3 linked regions of the Ovis aries genome follow. The protein of the gene in region 2 interacts with the protein of the main gene of each other region in a biochemical or structural test. Links are inferred from orthologs where the notes say so. Each region holds a gene or a part of one and is shown on either strand. Other genes may lie near its edges.

Region 1 (3,653 bases), on a different chromosome or scaffold from region 2:
AAGAACAAAAGTCATCAAGGTCTCTGCCCCCCTAGAGCTTAGAGTCCAGTGCTTAGGAACAGGAATGAAAGACAATAAATTATGGTGTCAATCACTATCAAGTCACAAGTCTGACAACTGCTGCAAAAGAAAGGGACATGGAATCACACACATGAGAGCCTCTAGTAAGGGAACTTGACTTGTTCAAGGAAATCAGTGAAGGCTTCTTCAAGGAAGTGATAATCTAGTCGAGGTCTGAAGGATGAGCAGGCATGACCTACATGACAGGGGAAAAGAAGAACATTTCATGGTATGGGCCCCGTGATGAGAAGCAGTGTGACTCTATAGAGGGAACAGAATGGAGTGATTAGGAGGCTTTGGTAGAAATCCAGATCAGAGATGGTCATAGGATTGGATTAGAGATGTTTTTAAGAAGCTCCAGAATAGTAAATAGGTTCAAGAGATGTTTAGGCAGGTGATGGAGGAGGGCAACATGATCCTCAGCTTTCTGACTTGGGCATTTGGAATGGTTACAGGGTCAGCTGCTCAGACGGGGTACCTAGAGGAGAGACAGCTCAGGATGGATTAAGTGTGATGTGCCTCTGAGATGCCAAGAGGAAAAGACGAGAAGGAAGACACCAGATCAGAGGAGGGTCCAGACTGAAGCTACGTTTGTACCCAGGGTGGGTAATGAAAGCCACAGGTGTGGACAGGGCCATCTGAGGGAAAGAGACAGTGACCTACAACTCAGCCTTGAGGAATCCCAGCATTTCACTGCTTAGCAGAGGAGAGTGAACCTGCCAAACAGACGGAAAAGAGCAGCCAGAGAGACATGGGGGAAAACTGGAAGACTCGCATCTCAGAGCTAAGGGGAAAGAAAGCTTCAAGAATGAAGTTGTGAGAAGCAGCAGACTCACTGATATACAGAAAACAAATCTGTGGTTAGCAATAGCTAGTGGGAGGTTGCTGTATATCACCGGGAGCTCAGCTGGGTGCTCTCTAATGACCTAGAGGGGTGGGATGGGAGGAGGATGGGAGGGAGGCTCAAGAGAGAGGGGGGAGTATATATATTCGCGTAGCTGATTCACTGTGTTGCACAGCAGAAACAAATACAACTCTGTGAAGCAACTGTACTCCAAAAATAAAATTTTTTTTAAAAAGAAAAAAGGGGGAAGAAAAAGATGTTTTATCTCCGGTCATAGCAGAACAGGTTTCAAAAACAGATTTTCTTTTAAATATATTCAGCTATTACACAGTGTTTTGTAAATATATATATTAAATATATATAAATATTAAAAACCAAACAAATCAGTGGGGAGAGAGGGGAAGAGAGGCAACACGGGGGCAGGGGAGTGAGCGGTAAAAACTACTGGGTGTGAGACAGGCTACGAGGATGTGTTGTGCAACACTGGGAACATAGCCGATATTTTGTAACAACTGTAAACGAAGTGTAACTTTTAAAAATCATACAGAATTTTTTAAAAATTAAAAAAAAAAAAAGAATGATGCTGTGGTCAACTATGTCATAGGTGGCTGAAAGGCCAATGAGAATAAAAGCTGGAAGGTCTGGAGGATTTGTATAGAGGTCACTGGTGATCTTCGGGGAGTAAGCTGGTTATGTGGAGTGGTAAGGATGGATGCCTTCACACCTCACCTCAAACATTCCAAACTCCCAATTATCTGTGTTGGGTAGTGAAGAGCAAGGTGAAAGATTGGGATTTAGCGCATCCTTCAAGGGCAAACATATTCATCTTGCTTCCCAGCGGTTCCAGGGAGTTGTCCCTAGCCCCACCCCCTGGCACATCCTTTCTTCTCCCAGATGAGCCTACCATAGCCAGAATGCTCACTTCTTTATCTGGTTCAGATTCTGGGAGGTGTCTCGGACTCTGAAGGTTCCTGACAATATCTATAAGCCGTTCCACCAGCTTTGCCAGCTCCCGGTCAACTTCTGTGACGCTCCTCGGTGCCTCCACCTTTAAAAGAGCAAAGCAGAACACAAAGCTGGACCCGGGAACCAGCTCTAGACAGAGGGAGCCGTAAACACTGGATAAAGGAAGTGGGCAAGGAAGTGACAAAAATGTCTAGAGGAAAAGGAGGTAAAGTCCTCGGACTTTCCGCATTCCCACCTCCCCCTGCTGGTTGTTCACAGGGAAGCAGCGTTCATCCATCAGATGGGGCCAGGGGGGTGGGAGTGAGGCATGAAGGAAAGACTGGGGTTATTTTGAACTGGGGAAGTCAGAGGGGAAGCAGGGTGGGAGCCTGGAGATTTGGTGCAGGTGGCAGCTGGTACGTTGAGTGGAAGGCATTTAGCTCAGGCTTTAGCTCCACTCTCACCTCTGACTCATCCTGCGTCTTCACCACTCCTTTCAAAAATTAAAGCGACCACCCCTAGTTCCTTTTAACAGTGAAAAGCATCTACTATGAAAGGATCGTGGAGATTCTAGATTGCTGTACAGATGCAAGCTCTTTTTGTTTATCGGCGTCCTTCACATTTAAAGAAACATTCAGATGAGAATGCTAAACAACTCCGCTTCCAGAGCTTCATCTGCGCAGCTGCCTGGCTGAGAGTGGGAGGAAGTTTGGCCACCAACATATTCTGGCAACAACCTCAAGACCTGGTGACCATCATCAGAGGCAGGCGGGGCCCAGAAGTCATTGGAGAAATCTGAACTACCTCCCAAAGTGGTCCTACATAGAACCACAGAAATACAAGATTTTCATTATTCTACTCTAAATAAACCACAGTTTTTAATAACTTTGGGGGGACAGCTCTCACTTTTTAAATTATGCTGGAACCTCAAAAACTGGAACTAATTTTTCATCTCTAAGAAGCACTTATGTCCCTCAAAATAGCATGTGTTTCAGAAGCCATATGCAGACTAATTTTCAGAGGAAGGTGGCTGACCACTGGTAACATTGTTTGCTCTTGTATATCCAGGTCTCACTCCTAAACATTCTGGCAGCTGGAATTCTGGAGTGGAGCCCTTATCTAGACACCTGAGCAAATTAAAAACTTTTATAAATAAGTGTTGGTGCTTTTTCTATCCATAAAACTGCACATTTATCATGATGAATGTAGAAAATGCACAGAGTTGAAAGAAGAAACATTTTAAATCATCCAATATCCTACCATCCACAGACAATTGTAATCTGAAAGCCAATGCAAAGTATATTCAGTCACTATACTAACAAATAGTTTTAAGGACCTGAGGGATAATGCTGAATTTATTCATCTGTGGCCACACTGCTCAGCTTGTAGGGTCTCAGTCCCCTGACCAGGGATAAAACCTGGGCCACAGCAGTGAAAGCGCTGAATCCTAACCACTAGACCACCAGGGAACTTCCAATGCTGTGTTTATAACCAAAAAGAAGAAAACAGCTTTAATTATAAGGGGGGGAGGGGAGGAAGCAACCAATATGTCCATTAAAAGGTGAATAGACAAACTGTGGGACATGTATGCAATGGAATATTATTTGGCAATAAAAAGAAATGAGCAGTCAAGCCACAAATCTTAATTATGTTTAGTGAAAGAAACTAGTCTGAGAAAGCTAGACACTGTATGATGCCAATGGTATGACATTCTGGAAAAGCCAAAGAGATAGCAAAAAAAATCAGTCATTGCCAGGGGTTGGCAGGGGGTGAGGGGATACACAAAGGTGGGGCTCAGGGGGTT
Region 2 (3,653 bases):
GTCTTGGATTCAGACCTACGGGTGACCTTTGATTCTTTATTCTTTTGAGACTCTCTTGAAGTTGCCAAGTTCTCTTCTCCTTTTTAAAATCAAGTAATTAATTCATCGGGTATTGTGCCAGGTACTATGCTAGGTAAAGGAAGCACCAAGATTAAAGACAGTCTTGCCTTCAAGGAACTCAGCATCAAACAAAGATGCGAATAGTCACCCTGTAGCAAGGCAGGGTTACACACTGCTATTACGGGCGCACAGGGGAGCTTAGGCCAGGACTGGGCTGTAGGGAGGACTTCCTAGGGGAGGTAATGTGTGCGACAGATCTTGAAGTCAGCCAGGTTAAGAAGGAGAGGTGATCAAGTGAGGTCAAGAAGACAGCAGTTGCAGAGGGAAGAGAGAGCACAGTGAATTTTAGAATCTGCAGGATTTCATGCTAATTCTAACAGGTGACTAGTAGAAAGGAGAGTGGGGCTGGGGGAGAGGCTGGGGGCAGACAGTGAAGGTGTCCTGCAGGCCATGCTGAGTTTGACTTTTATCCTAGAAGTGGGACTTCCCTGGTGGTCCAGTGGCTTAGACTCCACACTCAAAATGCCAGGGGCCTGGCTTCCATCTGCAGTCAGGGAACTAGATTCCCACTTGCCACAACCCAGAGCCAGCGCTGCCAAATAAATAAATAAATATCCTAAAAGCAAATGGGAAGCAACGCACGATTTTGAACTGATAAGTTCTGTGATGAGAAATGAAGAGAGCCAAACTGAGGCAGTGGAGATGGGCTAGTGAAGGAAGCAGGCTTGTGCAAACAGAAGTGTTCAGATTTAAGAGCTCCCTGGGTTTGGGTGGGAGTGAGCGAGTGCGGGGCTTCTCTCTTGGCACCTGTGTGTGGACTGGCAGGTGTTACTCGTTCTAGAGCAAGGAGCAACTTGGGCAGGCACAAGTGAGCTTAGAGTTTCGGAGATGTTGAATTCTCGTCTCCAAGGTAACTTCTGCGTCTGAGCTTCTCTCACGCTCAGTCTCTCTGCTTTCTTTCACAGCTTGATTTCTAACAACTTATTCTAACAGCTGCTTTGCCTGCCTCTACCCTCTTTCCCGTCGAACCCCCATTACGCAGCTCGTCTTCCTGGGATTACCCACTTTATCTCGTCAGTATCCTGCTGGCGATCCTGGTTCTCCAGGCAGAGCTCTCACGGCGCCGCTCACCTGGCCGGGCGCGCCCCGCTCGCACAATCTGGTTCTGCTTCCCTCGCCAACTTTCCGCTCCTTGCCTATTAGCAGTTCCCTCGAACAAATTCATTCCCTTGTTTGTTCATTCAGTGCTGGGCTAAGTGCTCGGTGGTGGGAACACAGCGTGGACCCTCAGACACAAGCCCTGCCCTCACGGCATTTTCGGTTTGGCTACCGGCAGTGCCAAAGGCGGGTGAGTGACAGTGTCGAGGCAACACGGGGTGGGGGAGTGGTGGGGTGAGCGGTATTTCAGGCAAGGAGACCGGCGCCGGGAGAGAGTCTGGGGGCTTTCACTAGTCCTGAGAACTGTAGGAAGGAAAGTTAAGCAGGTAAAGGCCAGAACACAGAGCCCCCTGTGAGCCAGACTAGGAGTTTGGCTGGAGAAACCCACTTAACACTTGTGTTTTATTTTTTAAAGCATTTATTATTGTTATTTTTAACATTTATTTATTTGGCTGTGCTGGGTCTTAGTTGCGGCATGTGGGATCTAGTTCCCTGATCAGGGATCAAACCCAGGCCCCCTTTGTTGGGTGTGCAGAGCCTTAGCTACTGGACCACCAAGGAAGTCCCTCAAGACTTAAAAACAATACATGTATTTATTTATTTGGCTGCACGGAGTCTTAGTTATAACACGCAGGACTTTTGTTACGTCATTTGGGACCCTGGTTCTCTGACCAGGAGTCAAACCTGCACCCTCTGCTTTGAAGGGTGAAGTCTTAACCCCTGGACTGCCAGGGAAGTCCCTCCCTAAAGGCTTTTAATCAGTGGATTAGCATTGTCTCTCATCTGCAATTTTGGAAATTCCCTCCAGTTGTTGAATGGAGACTGGACTGGAGGGAAGGGGGAAGGAGGTAAGGAGATGAGGTAGGAGGAGATCATGGTATTATCCAGAAGCCTTAGGACATGGTCAGGGTTGTGGAGGTGGAGAAGGGTGGGCAGACATGGCTTTCTGCCTTCTTCTCGTCTCTTATACCCTCCCGCCATCTCTTCACCTGTTCAGATACTGTCAGCTGCTTATTGCCAGATGGCCTAGCTCATTTTTGCACCTACCTAAGTTCAGTAAATACCTGTTGATTACTCTAGTTTATTGATAGTCCCCTTGTTTGTAGATTGGGTTACTGCTACTTGTCTGGGTAACCACCTTTGTTTCTCTGATTAAAGATGAATGGGTGAGGGGATTTCCCTGGTGGTCCAGTGGTTAAGAATCTCCCTTCTAATACAGGGGACGAAGATTCAAACCCTGGTCTGGGAGCTAAAATCCCATATGCCGTGGGACAGCTAACTCCGTGTACCCCAGCTAGAGAAGCCCCAATGCAGCCACTAGAAAAGCCCCTGTGTGCTGCAGCAAAGACCCAGCACAGCCAAAAAAAAAAGGCAGGGGGGCAGTTAGGTTTTATTCCATGGCTGTTGTTTGGCCTCTGGGCTGTTTGGTTATCAGCTCACAACTGGTAGAGCTTGGGTATGGGACACATCTGGGTTTGAATTCCTGTGCTCCCTCTATCGGAGAAGGCAATGGCACCCCACTGCAGTACTCTTGCCTGGAAAATCCCATGGACGGAGGAGCCTGGTGGGCTGCAGTCCATGAGGTTGCTAAGAGTCAGACATGACTGAGCGACTTCACTTTCACTTTTCACTTTCATGCACTGGAGAAGGAAATGGCAACCCACTCCAGTGTTCTTGCCTGGAGTATCCCAGGGACGAGGGAGCTTGGTGGGCTGCCGTCTATGGGGTTGCACAGAGTAGGACACGACTGAAGCGACTTAGCAGCAGCAGCAGCAGCAGCAGCTCCCTCTGTATACTAGCTGTGTGACTTGGCGTGATGATTTCACTTCTCCGAGCTTCCATTTCCTCATCTATAAAGTCTATCTATGTCATGGCGTTGTGAAATGAAATTATAAATACAAGACATGTTGATTCTTGGTATGTAGTCGGTATTCAGTAAGCAGTTGTGTTTGTACGTAGACACACTGCTGAAAACTGTCTCAAGAGAAATACTCTAAGGAATCAAAATTAGAAAGCGAGACATGCTTAGAGCCTTAATGACTAGCCAGATGACACAATGGAAAACAGGTTTTTTTTTTTTTTCTTTTTCAGAAAACTTATCTCGCATTCAAAATAGGAATTTTGGGACACAGAAATATGAACAGTGGATTATCGCAGTTCAGAAAGCGTGCATGGTGTTTCAGATGCCAGACAAAGATGAAGAAAGCAGGATTTGTAAAGCCCTGTTTTTGTACACGTCACATTTGCGGGTATGTGGCTTCTTTGGAAAAGGATATTTCCATCGTAACACCTACTGGGAGCTGTGCTATGGCAGCTGAGAGAGCATCATTTAGGAACTTTCCCGGTGGTTCTTATGAAGCAAATGCCAAAAGCTATCCTATTCAACATCTGTCTTTGCTCTCTGAAACCTGGCCCTAGAGGCCGAGGGACAGAAA
Region 3 (3,653 bases), on a different chromosome or scaffold from region 2:
CGACTTAGCAGCAGCAGCAGCAGTGGGAGGCATTAAAGTAGAAATTAAAATAACTGGAAAGTGAAATCTGGGTCTTTATACAATGGCTAATTATTTACATCACAAAAAAAATGATTTTGTCTAAAGCAGGTAACTACTCTTAAAGTAGTTATATAAAATATATATATTTATAAAACACAATTTATAAAACACTGTTTTTATGTTTCTTCTTTAATACTAATACTCAACACTGCAGCTACATATGCATTTTTTCTCTATAATCTTATAGTAAGACTTCTTATATTAAGAAAGGTAAGCTTAATTCAGCATAAAAATACAATGTAGAAGTAAGAAAATATACTTACTAAGAAATCATCATAAAACAAAGTGTGACTGACTTGCAAATGTCTTATTAAGCTGCCATTGAAGCTGCTTCGATTCTCATTAGGTACCAAACGGCAAAGCGGACAGAACTGGAAATAAACAATATCCAGAGTTCAAGAAAGAATTTAAATAATCATTAGTGTCAGCGATAAAAAATTAAATAGCCATTCAACAAAGTTAATTTTATGAATCTATTGGCCATACCTTGGTATTATGTTTTAGAATTATATAAATATTAAAGCAATATAAACAAATAAAATTGCACTTCTTTCTTCATACACATTTCTTGTATATAAAGAGTATAACTATTTGTTTCATACTTACCACTTTATTATTTAAATAATATTACAGTCAGGAGGTGTGCCATAATTTAATTAGTTACCTACCTCTTGCAATACTAAAGTTTTCTTAGGTATGTGCATATTTTGCTATTACAAATTACATTATCTACATTGCTATTGTTATTACAAATAATATTATCTATAGTTATATATCAAATTACATTTTTGAGGGGATTATTTTCTTAGGATAAATGACTATAAATGGAGATTAGAAGGTCAAAGTTATGAACATTCATGGTTCATAATATACACTATATATGATACATGATTATAGTTTTATATTACCACTAGCAATATAGATTATAATATACCAGCATCAGATATTAGTATTTACACATATTTTCCTAATTTAATAGCCATGAATGGCCATCTGCAAAACCTTCTCATTTTGAAATATTTATAAGCTCAAAAGAAATGGCAAAATAATGCAGACATACATGTCACCATCACCCAGCTTCCCCAAAATGTTACTTCTTACATAACTATGGCATATTATCAAAACCAGGAAATTGGCAATTAACTAGACAACATCTGACTTAGATTTCACCAGCTTTTGCATGAATTCATTTTCTGGGGTGGGTATATATATTCTATGAAATTTTATCATACATATAGTCATATAACTACCAACACAATCAAGAAACAGAACTGCTCTCTCACTACAAGAAACTCCCTTGCACTATCCCTTAACTTCTCTCCTGAACCCTGGCAACCATGGATTTGTTCTCTAGATCGGCCTTTTTTTTCTCTCTTTGCCTTACTGCCTGGCATGCAGGATCTTAGCTCTCTACCAGCATCCGGAGCGCACCCCTTGCAGTAAGCTGAGTCTTAACCACTTGACCCCTAGAGAAGTCCCACAAATGGATACCACTCTTATCACCTAAGCAGATACTGCCAGTACAGCATAGCAAGTGCTGTAATCAAGATCTGAACAGACAACTGTTCAAGACTGATAAGGGAATCATTACTTTTTTTTCTGAGAAGTCAGGAAAGGATTCAGCCAAGTTGCATGCAGCTGGTGTGAATCTTGAAGAACGAGTCAGCCATAGCAGAGGAAAAGCACCACAGGCAGGGAAAGCAAAGTGGAAAAAGGCAGGAAACCCTAAAACGACCAGGCCTGCTTAGGCAATGGGAAAATGCTCAGTGAAGCTGGAGACAGGGCATGTGGGCAGCCGGGGGAGGAGAGTTTGGAACAGTAAGTTGGAACCAGTACTAATCGACATACACTCTTCTGAGCAGCTCATGTGATTTCTCTTCTCCCCGTATCGAGTCAGAGGAACAGAGATGACTAAGCCTTGGTCCCATGATTAAGGAGCTTTGAGCCCAGTGGACGGGAAATCTACAGAAAACCTGGAATTTCAAGCAAAGTAGTTTTTCTTTTCAGTCTGATGTTAAGAGAACTAGTGGAGGCATCAGACTTCAGGTGTATAGAGAATTTAGTTGTGTGACTGAAGAGACTTTCACCAGAAAGACACTACAAAACAATGGATGACAGTCTATACTACTTTAAAAATTTCTTCTGTTTCTTGAATTGGGGAATTTGACATAAGGAAGGAGAGAGTAAGAATAGGAAAGGGAAAGAAATGGTAAAGTGAGAGACTGATGATCATGACCTAAGTCCTTAAGTGTTCACCTACACTCTCCCTAAGGTTGTTGTTGTTTAGTTGCTTGATTGTGTCTGACTCTTTGCAACCCCATGGACTGCAGCACTCCAGGCTTCTCTGTCCTTCACCATCACTTGGAGCTTGCTCAAACTCACGTCCATTGAGTCGGTGATGCCATCCAACCATCTCATCTTCTGTCATCTCCTTCTCCTCCTGCCTTCAATCTTTCTCGGCATCAGGGTCTTTTCTAATGAGTCAGCTCTTCACATCAGGTAATCCAAGTATTGGAGCTCCAGCTTCAGCATCAGTCCTTCCAATGAATATTCAGAACTGCTTTTCTTTAGGATTGACTGGTTTGATCTCCTTGCAGTCCAAGGGACTCTCAAGAGTCTTCTCCAACACCACAGTTCAAAAGCATCAGTCCTTCGGTGCTCAGCCTTCTTTATGGACCAACTCTCACATCCATACATGACTGCTGGAAAAACCATAGCTCTGACTGTACAGACATTTGTTGGCAAAGTAATCTCTCTGCTTTTTAATATGCTGTCTAGATTTGTCATAGCTTGTCTTCCAAGGAGCAAACGTCTCTTAATTTGATGGCTGCAGTCACCATCTGCAGTGATTTTGGAGCCCAAGAAAATAGAGTCTATCACTGTTTCCACTGTTTCCCCATCTATTTACCATGAAGTGATGGGACCAGATGCCATGATCTTCATTTTCTGAATGTTGAGTTTTAAGTCAACATTTTCACTCTCTTCTTTCACTTTCATCAAGAAGCTCTTTAGTTCCTCTTCACTTTCTGCCATAAGGGTGGTCATATGCATATCTGAGATTATTGGTATTTCCTCTGGCAATTTTGATTCCAGCTTGTGCTTCATCCAGTCTCACATTTCACAAACTGTACTCTGCATAGAAGTTAAATAGGCAGGGTGACAATACACAGCCTTGACGTACTCCTTTCCCAATTTGTAACCAGTCCATTGTTCCATGTCCAGTTCTAACTGTTGCTTCTTTACCTGCAAACAGATTTCTCAGGAGGCAGGTAAGGTGGTCTAGTATTCCCATCTCTTGAAGAATTTTCCAGTTTGTTGTGATCCACACAGTCAAAGGCATAGCCAATGAAGCAGAGATAGATATTTTTCTGGGACTCTCTTGCTTTTTCTATGATCCAACGGATGTTGGCAATTTGATCTCTGGTTCCTCTGCCTTTTCTAAATCCAGCCTGAACATTTGGAAGTTCTTGGTAAACGTACTGTTGAAGTCTGACTTGGAGAATTTTCAGCATTATTTTGCTAGCATAATAAATGAGTACAATTGTGTGGTAGTTTGAGCATTCTTTGGCATT

What was found.
Region 1: of the proteins of RIGI (region 2) and RNF135, one has a biochemical effect on the other in vitro, tested with the Homo sapiens proteins (6 studies listed by BioGRID, with this or other methods). The link is inferred for Ovis aries from reciprocal best matches to the Homo sapiens genes RIGI and RNF135.
Region 3: of the proteins of RIGI (region 2) and RNF125, one has a biochemical effect on the other in vitro, tested with the Homo sapiens proteins (3 studies listed by BioGRID and IntAct, with this or other methods). The link is inferred for Ovis aries from reciprocal best matches to the Homo sapiens genes RIGI and RNF125.

The regions. Positions count from the first base shown.
Region 1 is NC_056064.1:17,747,299-17,750,951, forward strand, and holds part of RNF135 (E3 ubiquitin-protein ligase RNF135), read right to left. Parts: intron 1,953-3,653; coding exon 1,809-1,952; intron 1-1,808.
Region 2 is NC_056055.1:101,639,353-101,643,005, reverse strand, and holds part of RIGI (antiviral innate immune response receptor RIG-I), read left to right. Parts: intron 1-3,309; coding exon 3,310-3,467; intron 3,468-3,653.
Region 3 is NC_056076.1:25,486,044-25,489,696, forward strand, and holds part of RNF125 (E3 ubiquitin-protein ligase RNF125), read right to left. Parts: intron 453-3,653; coding exon 345-452; intron 1-344. UniProt on the Homo sapiens protein: E3 ubiquitin-protein ligase that mediates ubiquitination and subsequent proteasomal degradation of target proteins, such as RIGI, MAVS/IPS1, IFIH1/MDA5, JAK1 and p53/TP53.